2 linked regions of the Ovis aries genome follow. The protein of the gene in region 2 interacts with the protein of the main gene of each other region in a biochemical or structural test. Links are inferred from orthologs where the notes say so. Each region holds a gene or a part of one and is shown on either strand. Other genes may lie near its edges.

Region 1 (6,077 bases), on a different chromosome or scaffold from region 2:
CAGGGAAGAAAGGAAACATATAGTTTGAAAAGCATATTGAAAAGTTTTATGTTAGGGAAGGCAGAATCTCTACACTATTTTAAAATACAAACTGCAGTGCACAGAGTTCAACAAAATTCTGCCCCATGTGTCTGCCCCATGTGTCTGAGGGGGATGGATAGGTCCAGATTCCCACAGTCTTCCAGGCCGGGGGATGGAAACTTGATGCTGAGCGTGTTAGTATGTTATTTCTCTTATGCAGTTGTGTTGATGGAAGATGGTAGTTGGTTTTACCTTACAGGTTTTAATATCCTAACTAACCAAAATAGTAGGTTGGTGACACTATGTGAGTTCTCTGTCACCAGTTTTTCTGAGAATTAACTTGCCCTTGAATTCTTAAGTGTGGGATGCTTAGGAAATGCCTTCACAACCCCTTCCAGGCCTGCTACAGCTTGGACTTGTGCTGCCCTAGGACAGGAGCCATTAACTACATGGGGCTATTTAAATAAAATGGAATTAAACATTCAGTTCCTGAATTGCGATAGGTGTATATCTCTGGTCCTGGGAAAGGGATGGACAGTTTCCCTCTGGTTCACTAATTCTTTTTACCACTAGATGGCAGGACCTCCTCCACTTGGCCAAATGCTGTTTAATTTCCCATCCTAGTAGTGTTTACCCTTTGGCCCACTCAAGCGTTGTTGTGGGGATGGAAGGTTCCAGGCCCAGCAGGGCTGTGGCCGTCCCCAGCCCGCTTTTACAAGATGATTGTGGTCCATCTCTTCTGTCTCTGATAATCTGCTTCTTTGCTCTCCTTTTAGGAGCTGGTGTTTTCTGCCTCCCCCGATGCTACTATCAGGATTTGGTCGGTTCCGAATGCCTCTTGCGTACAGGTTGTTCGTGCCCACGAGAGCGCTGTGACAGGCCTCAGCCTCCACGCCACTGGTGACTATCTCCTGAGCTCCTCTGATGACCAGGTATCGTCCCAGCCAGGCTCTTGGTCCCCAAACTCAGGTATCCTGGGAGGAGGAAACATCTTACCCAGCTGGGTCCCCAGAACCAGGAGAGAGTATTTCCTCTCTACAGAGAGGGGATGGCCTTGCCAAGGTCTGCCCAACCAGGGTCCCTGCCTTCCTGAGGGGCCATCAGAACCTGGGGACCCACTGTCTTACCAGCTCTGTTGTCTCTTTTTTTTTCAGTACTGGGCCTTCTCTGATATCCAGACAGGACGTGTGCTCACCAAGGTGACCGATGAGACCTCTGGTTGCTGTAAGTTGTCTCCTAAGTGTTGGCCTCTTCAGTCGCTGTATATTGTTTAATGTTTTATTTAGTTGTTGCTCATTTGTTCTAAAAAATACATGCTGCCAGTGCTTGCTGGGTGCCGGGCATAGTGCTGGCCCAGGGAGCGTGAGGAACAGCGAGGAGCCTACCTTTGCTGTGCTTAGTATCTTGAGGGTGGGCTCTGACCGTCTGTCTGTCTCCCCCCCAACAGCTCTCACCTGTGCGCAGTTCCACCCTGATGGACTCATTTTTGGAACAGGAACCATGGACTCTCAGATCAAGATCTGGGACTTGAAGGTAGGACATGGCTGTCCCCGTCTGCAGCCCAGGGTTGGAGCTCTTGTCCCCGTGTGGTGTGATGAAGTGCTTATGGCACCTGGCCCCGGGGGTGTCCCAAGAGTGGGGAGACAGGGGCTGTGTGTGTGACAGTACTGTGTGTGTGGCACAGTACTGGGGTCCCCAGGCTGGGCGTCCACCCTTGCTCTTCCTGCTGGTTGTCCTCCCTGAGGGTGGAGGACGTCTCAGGAGTGGAGTTGTCTGAGCTCCATTTTCTCCCTCATGACCAGTGGGTGACATTTTACTCCCTGCTCCCCAACCACAGGAGCGCACCAATGTGGCCAACTTCCCCGGCCACTCGGGCCCCATCACCAGCATTGCCTTCTCGGAGAACGGCTACTACCTGGCTACAGCGGCCGATGACTCCTCTGTTAAACTCTGGGATCTGCGCAAACTTAAGAACTTTAAGACGTTGCAGCTGGATAACAACTTTGAGGTACACGTCTTTCTCTGTCACCCCTCCTCCTCGTTTGTCAGTGAATTACTCTAAACTGCCTCTGTTTTCCCCGAATTGCCCACAGTTTCTGCTTCCTTTCATGTGACTTCTTTCCTGATTTTGGCAGGTGAAGTCACTGATCTTTGACCAGAGCGGTACTTACCTGGCCCTTGGCGGCACCGACGTCCAGATCTACATCTGTAAACAGTGGACGGAGATTCTTCACTTTACAGGTAGAGGCTTGCCCTAAGACCCTGAGGTCTCTGGGTGCTCTGGCCCAGAAGAAAGTGGGGAAAATTTCACTGGGTTAGGGGTTTCTAGTGGCAGGCGTGCATTTGCCAAGGCCGCTTTTAGTCACTCTCTGAGGCAATAGAGTTTAGTGGCTAAAACAAGGAACTCAGGAGTCAGACTGCCTGACTTTAAATGCTAGCTCTGCCACTCGAAGCTTTGTGACACTGGGCAAGCTACTTAACTTCTCTGGAAAATAATAGTACAGTTGATTCTCCACAGACTCTACCCACTGTGGATCAAAAATATTTGTGGGCGGAAAAAATCCAGAAAGTTCCAAAAAGCAAAACTCAAATTGCCCGCACACTGGCAACTATTCATGTAGCATTTACACTATATTTAAAATTATTGGCATAGAATTTGTGCTGTTAGGAATTACAAGTTATTTAGAGATGATTTAAAGTATATAGGAGAATGTGTGTACATTATATACAAATACCACCCCAACAAAGTTGGCACCTCCTAATAGTAGTGTGGCCTCTGGTGCATGACTTTCCCTTTTGGAGCTGTAGTTACTTCATCTTTAAATGGGCGTATTGACACTGCTTCGCATATTGTGCCGGCTGGTGCCCTGGAGGTGGCCTGCATGGGGACAGGATGCCTCTTGCACCTTCAGGAACTGAAGGAATGGCAGCTGCTGCCATCTTTGTTAACGAAGTTCTTGTTCTCATTAGCGGGTGGTGGGCGGGGCACAAGCACCTTCTCCCACCCCAGATTCTACTCACTGTGTGTCCCAGAGATGGCCAGACCTGATGGTGTGGCCCATGGGTTTTCACCTTCCCTGGGCCCCGGTGCCTTGATTTAGAGCAGTCAGTGGAGTGGCGGGCTGGAAGCACAGGGCAGCGTTAGAGTGGGGAGCTGGTGGGCCAGCTGTGATTGTGGGAATTTGCCCTGATGTCCATGAACTACCTGAGCCCAGCGGAGAGGGTTGCCTGGCGTCTTTTGCCCCTGACCCAGCCTTCTGTGTGAGCTAGGACAGGCTGATAAGACTGTTCCAGTTACACACAGGGGCTCAGAACTAAAGACCAACAAGTCCAGCTTCCTGTCAGTTCTCAGACTTGGACTGAGCCGAGCAAAGCCAATTTGTAGCTGCCCTCGAAAGCTTAGGTGGCGGAGGACCGGTGTTCCTGTGTTCACTCAGCCCAGCCACACACAGTGCCTGCTGTGGGCCAGCCCCAGGGAGGCTCTGGAGCTCAGTGCCATGTAGAGCTCTGGCCTTGGGGGTTTCCAGGCCGCGGGAGGTTTCCAGGTCACAGGGACGGGTGGGGAGCATGTCATAGGGGTCGACGCTGAGACCCCAAGGAAGAAAAGCCTCCTCACCGTTGTCTTGTCTCTCCACAGAGCACAGTGGCCTGACCACGGGGGTGGCCTTCGGACACCACGCCAAGTTCATTGCTTCCACGGGAATGGACCGGAGCCTCAAATTCTACAGCCTGTAGGCGGCAGCTCACCAGACCGGAGTGGGGCCTCGTCTCAGTAGAGGGATAGCATTAGGGGTGGGGGTGGGGGGCAGGGGAGAAGAGACTACTGGGGGGTGGGGGGTGTATGGGGTGGGACATTCGCATCATTTCACTCTGGTCCCGGTGGTGGCCTGAGAGCCGCAGTGGCATGGACCACCCTCATCCGTCACCCTCTTGAGGGCTCAGCGTCGGCCCCAGGGCCTCTCTTCAAGGAGTTGATGGAGCTGATGGCTGTTCCACACCCACCGTGTTCCAGTTCCTGTGAGTTGGAGAGAGGCTGAGCCAAGGGAACTGTGAAGGGACTGGGCCGAGGGCTCAGGAAGGTTTTTGTAAGCAGCGCTCTAGTTTCATTAAAAAAAGAAAACAAACGTAGCCGCCTTCCTGTGTCTGTTTGTAGTGGGGAGAATCAAGGGGAGGGAGCACCAGTTAGGGCTTCAACCACCAGGATGCCCATCATTCTGTTGTTTCTTTAATTGGACAACAAATTTAAAAATAATCTACAAGCCATTTGCCAGAATGATTCTTCCACATTCCTGCAGGCCTTGACTTTGTGATTTATGGGGTTTTATGTCACCTGCCTTGGGTGGCTCCCATGTGAGCCTGGAAGTGGGGGAAGGGGAGAGTGCTGAGAATCTCGCTGCCACAGAACCGGCCATCTCTCAGAGCATCCTCAGTCCTTCAGTCCAAGGCGACAGAAAATCTGTCTCAACTGGCCTGAATCAGAAATCCTTCTGTGACTGGTATTTGAAGATTAGAATTCAAACTGGTCTGGGAGGACCCAGCCAGCAAACAGTAAATTAGCAGAATGTCAGGGAGCTCATGACCCCTGTGGTTGGGGAATTAAGGCAGGCTAGTCCTTGTGGCTGCTTTGGGTGGTCAAAGGCCTTTTCTAGATGATAAGCTGATGGGTGACTGATGGGAGCTAAGGGGAGGAGTGTTGCAGTTGAGGGAAGGTCCTGAAGCTGGAAGATCAAGATGCGAGCTGCAGGTGCAGGAAACCAGCATGGCTGGAGTGGTGCCACTGGGTATGGCCTTGGAAGATCATCAGTACCCTTTCAAAGAGCGGTCCCAGTGGAACATGAAGGAAAACAATATGAGATGACATTTTGTTCATTTTATGCCTGAAACAACCTTATCTTTAGTTGTCCAGCAACTGGGCAGCTTCCTGCACCCCCATGGGGCTTCAGGCACCTTGGCAGTCCAGCCTAGAAGGTGGGCTCTGCGAGCTTGGGGACAGAATCCGGGCTTTGGCACTTAGTAGAGTAAGGCCACAGACAGATTGATTAATTTATCTCTGTTTACTGTCCATTAAGACCCGAGCGGAGTGGCGTGGCTGGCTGGGTGCCCCGACATGGAGGCCAGGAGCGCCCCGAGCTGCCACCTGCGGTTCAAGTGGGTGTACAGCTACCGGGGCCACCAGTGCCACAACAACCTCTACTACACGGTGGCCACGGAGATCGTGTACTTCGTAGCGGGCGTCGGCATAGTGTACAGCCCGCGCGAACACCGGCAGAAGTTCTACCGGGGCCACAGCGATGACATCATCAGATATTTGCCTGAATAAGGGCGGGCGGCTGCGACTGGTGCACTAAGTGTGGGCGAGAGGAGCTACCCCACGTCCGAGGTCAGGGGCAGCGGCCGAGAGTGCCAGGCTGCGACAGCGCAGGAATGGCCGAGAGGAGCTACCCCTCATCCGAGGTCAGGGGCGGAGGCTGGGAGAAGAAACTCCATGTCCAAGGAACGGTAGCTGCGCGGGCGCAGGAGGGCCTAGAGGAGCTATCCCACGTTGAAGGTAAGGAAGGACGGCAGTGAGGAGATACCCTTCCTCCAAGGTAAGGAGCAGTGGCTGCACTTTGCTGGAGCAGCCATGAAGAGATACCCGACGCCCAAGGTAAGAGAAACCCAAGTAAGATGGTAGGTGTTGCAAGAGGGCATCAGAGAGCAGACACACTGAAACCATACTCACAGAAAACTAGTCAGTCTAATCATACTAGGACCACAGCCTTGTCTAACTCAAAGTAAGCCATGGCCACGGGGCAACCCAAGACGGGCGGGTCATGGTGGAGAGGTCTGACAGAATGTGGTCTACTGGAGAAGGGAATGGCAAACCACTTCAGTATTCTTGCCTTGAAAACCCCATGAACAGTATGAAAAGGCAAAATGATAGGATACTGAAAGAGGAACTCCCCAAGTCAGTAGGTGCCCAACGCGCTACTGGAGATCAGTGGAGAAATAACTCCAGAAAGAATGAAGGGATGGAGCCAAAGCAAAAACAATACCCAGCTGTGGATGTGACTGGT
Region 2 (6,077 bases):
GGGGTCATCTGGGTTTGGATCACATAGCAGTGAACAAATGGATAAAAGAACTGGAAGAAAACAAATGTCTGTTACCCACAACTGGGAATTTGGTTGAATAAAAGTATTTAAAAACAAGTATTATAATATAAACCTCAATCCTCAAAAGAGGATTAGTTTCTATCTTAATTTCCATAAGACAAAGCTTTACAGAGATTTTGATTCATACAAGACAAGCTCCTGGTAGTTAAGAGATCCTAAAAATAGGTATTTGTTAGCTAGTTTACTGACTAGATACAAAAATCTGCCAAATTCAGAAGTTCTGAGATAGTGAAATGCTACTGTATTAATTTATATTACTTTTTCTTTTGCTATGCCACGTTGAATGCGGGAACTCCTGACCAGGGACCGAACCTGTATCCTCTACAGTGAAGTGTGGAGTCCTAACCACTGGACCACCAAGGACTTCTCTCTATGAACCTTCTGAAATAGTCAAGTGGAGTTTCTTGGTAATGGCTGGAGGGAGGTGGGGGTGGGGACTTTGAATAAGAGTACAGCTATGCAATATATGCTTAGCTGTTTAGCTTGATAAAATAATCCATTTTCTGTCCTACTCTCGGGGGAGTTTCACAAAAACACCCAACTGCCCCAATGACTACAGGTTTTATCTCCCAGAATTTATAAGGTAGAGACCATATCCAAGAATTCTGGTTAAATTAAAAAAAAAAAAAAAAAAAACAAAACAACCCACCAAGATCTACTACTGAGTAGTTCTTCAGCTACAGCTCTCACACTGACCTATTCAAAACATTAACTTAAAAGATGTAAAGCATCATTAGGAATATGTATCTAATTCATTGTGAATACGAATTATGTGCCACTGTGCAAAGTTTTATAAAAAGTTTACGACATAAAAGCTTAATGTGGTTATGACAATCCTTGAAGATAATAGCAATACCATGAAAAAAAAATACATTATCATAGAAAATAGAACTTTAAACTCAAGTGCAGGATCAGAAATAAAACTAAATCTGCATTTACAGAAACAGTGTTCAGTATTGCAGTGCATTCCCAATGATGGTAAAACCAAACAAACCTGGAAAATAGTATTAAAGTCTTCTTCATACCAGGTGCCTGGTGTTAAGAGAAAAGAAAAGACCTGAAAAGAAACTTGAATGTATCCAGGGGGGTAAAAAATGGGCCTAAAACAATGCTGCACCTAAAAGAACGACAGCAGCATTTACCCAAATTGTCCCCACTCCCCACACAAAAGTGTTTCTGATTAATCAAAAACAATTCTGGGAATGCTAGACAGTCCCTTCAGAGAGATTCAAATGCACTGTACAAGGACACAAAAGGCTTGATGTCCTGACTTAACAAACGAATGAACAAACAAAACCTGTTTCACTTTGCATTTACCACACTTCTAAATATAAAACTTCTTGTAAAACACTACTAACTATTTCAGGAAATAATCTGGGGAATGCTACATTAAGTATTCAGCCAAAAAATGAGAATGCTTCAAGTTAGCTGCTATCCTCAAATATCTGAAATTCAGTCATAATTAGCAACATTAAAAACTCATTTTGTGTACTAAGGAATGCTAATAAGCCAGCATCAAAAACTGAATATCACTAAAAGGCAGACTTCCTTCTCATTAAGTAGCTGTGTGGTAGGTGATTTTTATTTGTGGGGTAAAAGTGACATAAAAGCCACCAGAGTTGTTTCAAAGAGATGGAGAGATATTCCATCTGGAACATCAATGTGGAAACTAGACAACCTATTAAAAATGCCACACAACAGATCGCTTTTAAAGTAGAAGAGCAGAATTTATCTAGAGACCTTTCCCAAGACTATGCATTTTAGACTATTATTAGATAGGAAACAACCTACCATGATACATGAAAACTTAACTAAAGGTTTCTTAAAAAGATTTTTTATCTAAAAAATAAGAAACACAGGAAAATGAAATCAGAATTTTCCCATAAGAAACCTCAAGTTCAAAAGCTCTTTTAACTTTAGGTGTACCATTTTTGCTAAATGGCAACAAATGAGTGAGATGTACAAGTGGCTTGGGATTGAAAAATATACTAAGAAAGCTATTAAATGCTGCTATTGATATTTGCAAATACTGCCCCCTCCATCTGAATGTTAACTTCTTCCCAAAAAATCTTTAATCAATACTGCTAAGAGCAAAAAGGATGTAACTTCTTATTCCTTTTCCCATCTTTATTAAAAAGCTGGCATTATAAAAATACTTAGGTAAGTCAGCTCAAAAATGAAACTCCTTTAACTATTAGAAAAATCAAAGCCGCTAGTATTTTACCTTTAGAAATAGTTAAAGCAGGAGACCACTGTGATCTTAGAATATCGAGACAAATGCTGCCATTACTGTTAATATTTGGATGATAAATTCTTGTTGTAAATGCAACCTAAAATAAAAAAACAACTTTATTTTTCCCAAATAAAAACAAGCATTGTAAACTTTGGCAAAAAACTATAGCTACACTTAAAATAGTTAAAAATTTTAAAAATCTAATAGCTAAAGTTATACACATAAAAATATCTATATTCTGACCAAGATCCTTCAGGGGCTTCTTTTTAATTAAAATGGAAAATATAACCATGTGGCAAAAATTTTATTATCAGTGATATGGTGGGTTGTTCTGAAGGTAAACTTTGGCCCTACCATAGCATGAGTATCAAAGGAGCAACTTGAAGGGAATTTAGGATTCACTAACAAATTAGAAACTTTCTGAGGTAGACCAAAGCATACAGATTAGCTCATTTAAGGCATCAAGGTACAAAAGCATGTATTAGAATCTCCATTTCCAACTGTACATAAAACACGCATTTGAATATCATAAAAGTATTTTCATTTAAAGGCCAAAATATACTGTAGTCTTAAATCCCAACACAAATAATGGTATATTTTTTAGCAACGTGTGAAAACGCACAATGAAGGTTAGTGTTTGGAACGCTAGTATTTAAGACACTAGAGTTACTGATCCAAATCTGTATACGCACAATAAAGTGAGAAAAATGCTTCCACATGGTATAGTTGAGCCTTGCAACGTAAAGGATAAGGCAATTCTTAACTCCAGTTACAAAGTTCAAATCCAGGTTTAGCTCTTCTTTTAACTAAGGCTAACAGTCAGCATTCAACATCAGTGATTTAATTCAGTATATACATTCAAGCCCCAATTATTCTTATTCATTATACACTCACAGTAGTTTAGCCTTAACTTATGCAGAACCCTAATGTCTAGGAATGTTCTATTCTTCTGAATAAAATACAAATCTTTACTCACAGACTTGGGGGTGGCAGGGAATACTTGCCTTAGGTGGTTTGAAGGGGTAGTCTGTAGGAAAATGAATTGTCAAAAAGAATACACCGCCTTGATATGGGCTGTCATTCTGTGAAAAGAAAAATATGCTTAACTCTGCTATTTAAAATGACTGCTAAATAATTCATGTCAACATTTATTTGCTAAGCATTTCTCTAATATGAAGCAAAATTACCTATTTACACAAAAATAGTCTAAATTATTCCATGATAAAGTTCTTATTAGTGAAAAACCATAATATTTACTATAGAATAAGGAATCATAATTTAGATCCTATTTTACATGCAGTCAAAGAATTTTAGAAAAACTATTCAGAAACACAAGGTTCGAGATCCTAGTTCTCATCAAGTACAGGTAAGAATGAAGTCTACATAATAATGCATCTAATTATCATCTGAAAATAAAGCTTATATCTGTTTGTTGAGCATTTCTTCTAATGACAGTCATATATACACAAACAACTTTGTACCTTAACAGGCTATTCTGGTCACTGGCAAACCAGAAATTTATCCCTTGTAGGTAAACATAACTCCCTTCAATAGGGGAAGTAGAATAGAAACAAAGAAGTTTCTAAGAAGTTTAGTTCCCAATTGGCCCCTCAAAATTCTCATTTAATAAAACCATGACAGCTTTTTCTTCAAAATTACACCACAAAATTCTTTATAGTAAGTCAATACATAAAACTACTAGATTTGGAAAAGCTGGGATGTTTGCTTTGCACACTTGAAACAGAAGATACAAAATTTCAAGCTACAGCAGTACTTTTTCTCCTTAAATGTTTTGCTCACTGTAATTTGAGTATGAAAAACTCCTCAGTAAATAAATAGCATATAACATTAGTATGAAGTAACATTTGGGAGAAACTTACTAGTATTCCACATTTAATTTAACCAATACCAAGAAAAAGATGCAACTGTTGCCATTTCATGAGTAAATGAAATAGGACTTAAACATACCAAAGAATGAAAAGATGATGATGTAGTCAAGGATTTTAAGGTCAAAGAGTTTTTTTAAAAAAATGGAATTGCATAACTGCCTCTGGATATGCAGTCAACCTGGAAATATGTTTGAAAATCTGCAGTAACTGAATTATTGTCAATACCCATTCCTCTCCATTTGAGTGAGGATGTATACAGTGCTATCATGAACCTTGTATCATACTATGCCCACTTCTTATTCGAGGCAAATAACCTTCACAGGGCTGACACTGTAGTACAGCTCATTTAATCCCACCCCTCTGTAAAACTACTAAACATTAATTACTAACTCCATTCTACTTACTAGGTAGTGAAAAGGGACACAGAATAATTTCTCATCTTGCTAAATCTACAGTCTGGTAGACATATAGTGAAATTTTATAGCTATTATAAAGAAATGAAAAAGGGTATATACCTGGGGTTTAAAGGAGAATGGTAAGTATACTGATGATCAAGTTAAAAGATACATATGATTTAATGGGAGAGCTACTATTTAAATGTCTTTCCTACTTCCAAGTCCCTCTGCTTCATAATGCCTACAAAACTCTAATTCAAGAAAATTAAGACTGCAAAATAGCATCTGCTAAGTACAGACAAATCAGACACAAGAATGTGACCCAAATTTATTAAATTAACATATCATTGTTAAATAATGACTATTAATTGGAAATAGATGCTTCAAATAGTTTACACTTTTATAAAATAGGCTCATGGAAGATATGTTTTTACCGAGTACAGTTAACAATTTAAGGGTAAACTGTTTTAATGAAAACATGTTTTCATTAAGCTTTAATTTCAAAAATTCTGCTTAAGCTTTCATTCCAAGTTTCATACAATCAAGCTCTACATCTGACTGCTTCTTAAAGGCAGTCTAACAATAGATTTAGTCAAAATCAAATTTCATCTCACTTGTTCAAGAAAAAAAAACCTTATAGAATGAAAATATTTCAATGTTACAAATTAACACCAAAACTCCAGCAAAGAGGAGAAACTGGTAAAAACAATACATGATCTAAAGGTAATCAAAATATGTCACCTAAAAACTAAGGCTCTACATTTGAATTTACCATAAATCAAATAAATATACCAAGAAAAACAAAAAGGAATACTTTGATAGACAAACCGAGCCAATCTTAGAAATGAAGAATTCATAACAGATCTCTTCTTTAGAAACATTCTACCCTAATTTTGCTACAATTAGTCCAAACTCCAAACTGCTCCTCCCTCAGTGTCTGTCTGTACTCTTCCCCTAAGGCAACTATGATATTCTGCTTCTATCTCCTGTCCCACACTTATTTTGGTAATTCTAGGATCTATCTTTAGTGTAGTTATTCCTTCTAAGACATATATTCAAATGCTTATTGAATATGTTCTACTCGGATGTCTCAAAAACTGAAACCACAATAGTCAAGCCACAAACTAGGATCTCATCATTGATTCTTTCCCATCTTACTCATAGTAGATACCGAATCTCAAAAATCCTTAATAAGTCTTCTAAACTGGATTCCTCTCCTTTGTATCCACTGCTTTAGCTCAAAATCTTACTAACTTTTATCTATATTATGGAAATGGTTTACTACTGGTATTCCTGCCTTCACTCTGGTTTTTCCCTCCAATTTATGCCTCAACCTAATGCTGAAGTGGTCTTTTCAAGATAAAAGTTAACTCCGGCTTGAAATCAAACACAGCTTGCCAAGACTGAAGCTCAAATTCCTATGCTTTAATGATCTGGTTTCCAACAATCTAGTATCATCTTTCACCTCCTCTCCAGAAT

Evidence for each region.
Region 1: the proteins of UBE2D3 (region 2) and PRPF19 form a complex in vitro, tested with the Homo sapiens proteins (2 studies listed by BioGRID). The link is inferred for Ovis aries from reciprocal best matches to the Homo sapiens genes UBE2D3 and PRPF19.

Annotation. Positions count from the first base shown.
Region 1 is NC_056074.1:34,597,038-34,603,114, reverse strand, and holds the end of PRPF19 (pre-mRNA-processing factor 19), read left to right. Parts: intron 1-797; coding exon 798-953; intron 954-1,175; coding exon 1,176-1,245; intron 1,246-1,468; coding exon 1,469-1,554; intron 1,555-1,858; coding exon 1,859-2,029; intron 2,030-2,156; coding exon 2,157-2,262; intron 2,263-3,658; coding exon 3,659-3,756; 3' UTR 3,757-4,145; downstream 4,146-6,077. UniProt on the Homo sapiens protein: Ubiquitin-protein ligase which is a core component of several complexes mainly involved pre-mRNA splicing and DNA repair. Required for pre-mRNA splicing as component of the spliceosome.
Region 2 is NC_056059.1:22,371,973-22,378,049, reverse strand, and holds part of UBE2D3 (ubiquitin-conjugating enzyme E2 D3), read right to left. Parts: intron 3,397-6,077; coding exon 3,319-3,396; intron 2,412-3,318; coding exon 2,306-2,411; intron 1,114-2,305; coding exon of another isoform or gene 1,076-1,113; intron 51-1,075; coding exon 1-50. UniProt on the Homo sapiens protein: Accepts ubiquitin from the E1 complex and catalyzes its covalent attachment to other proteins. In vitro catalyzes 'Lys-11'-, as well as 'Lys-48'-linked polyubiquitination.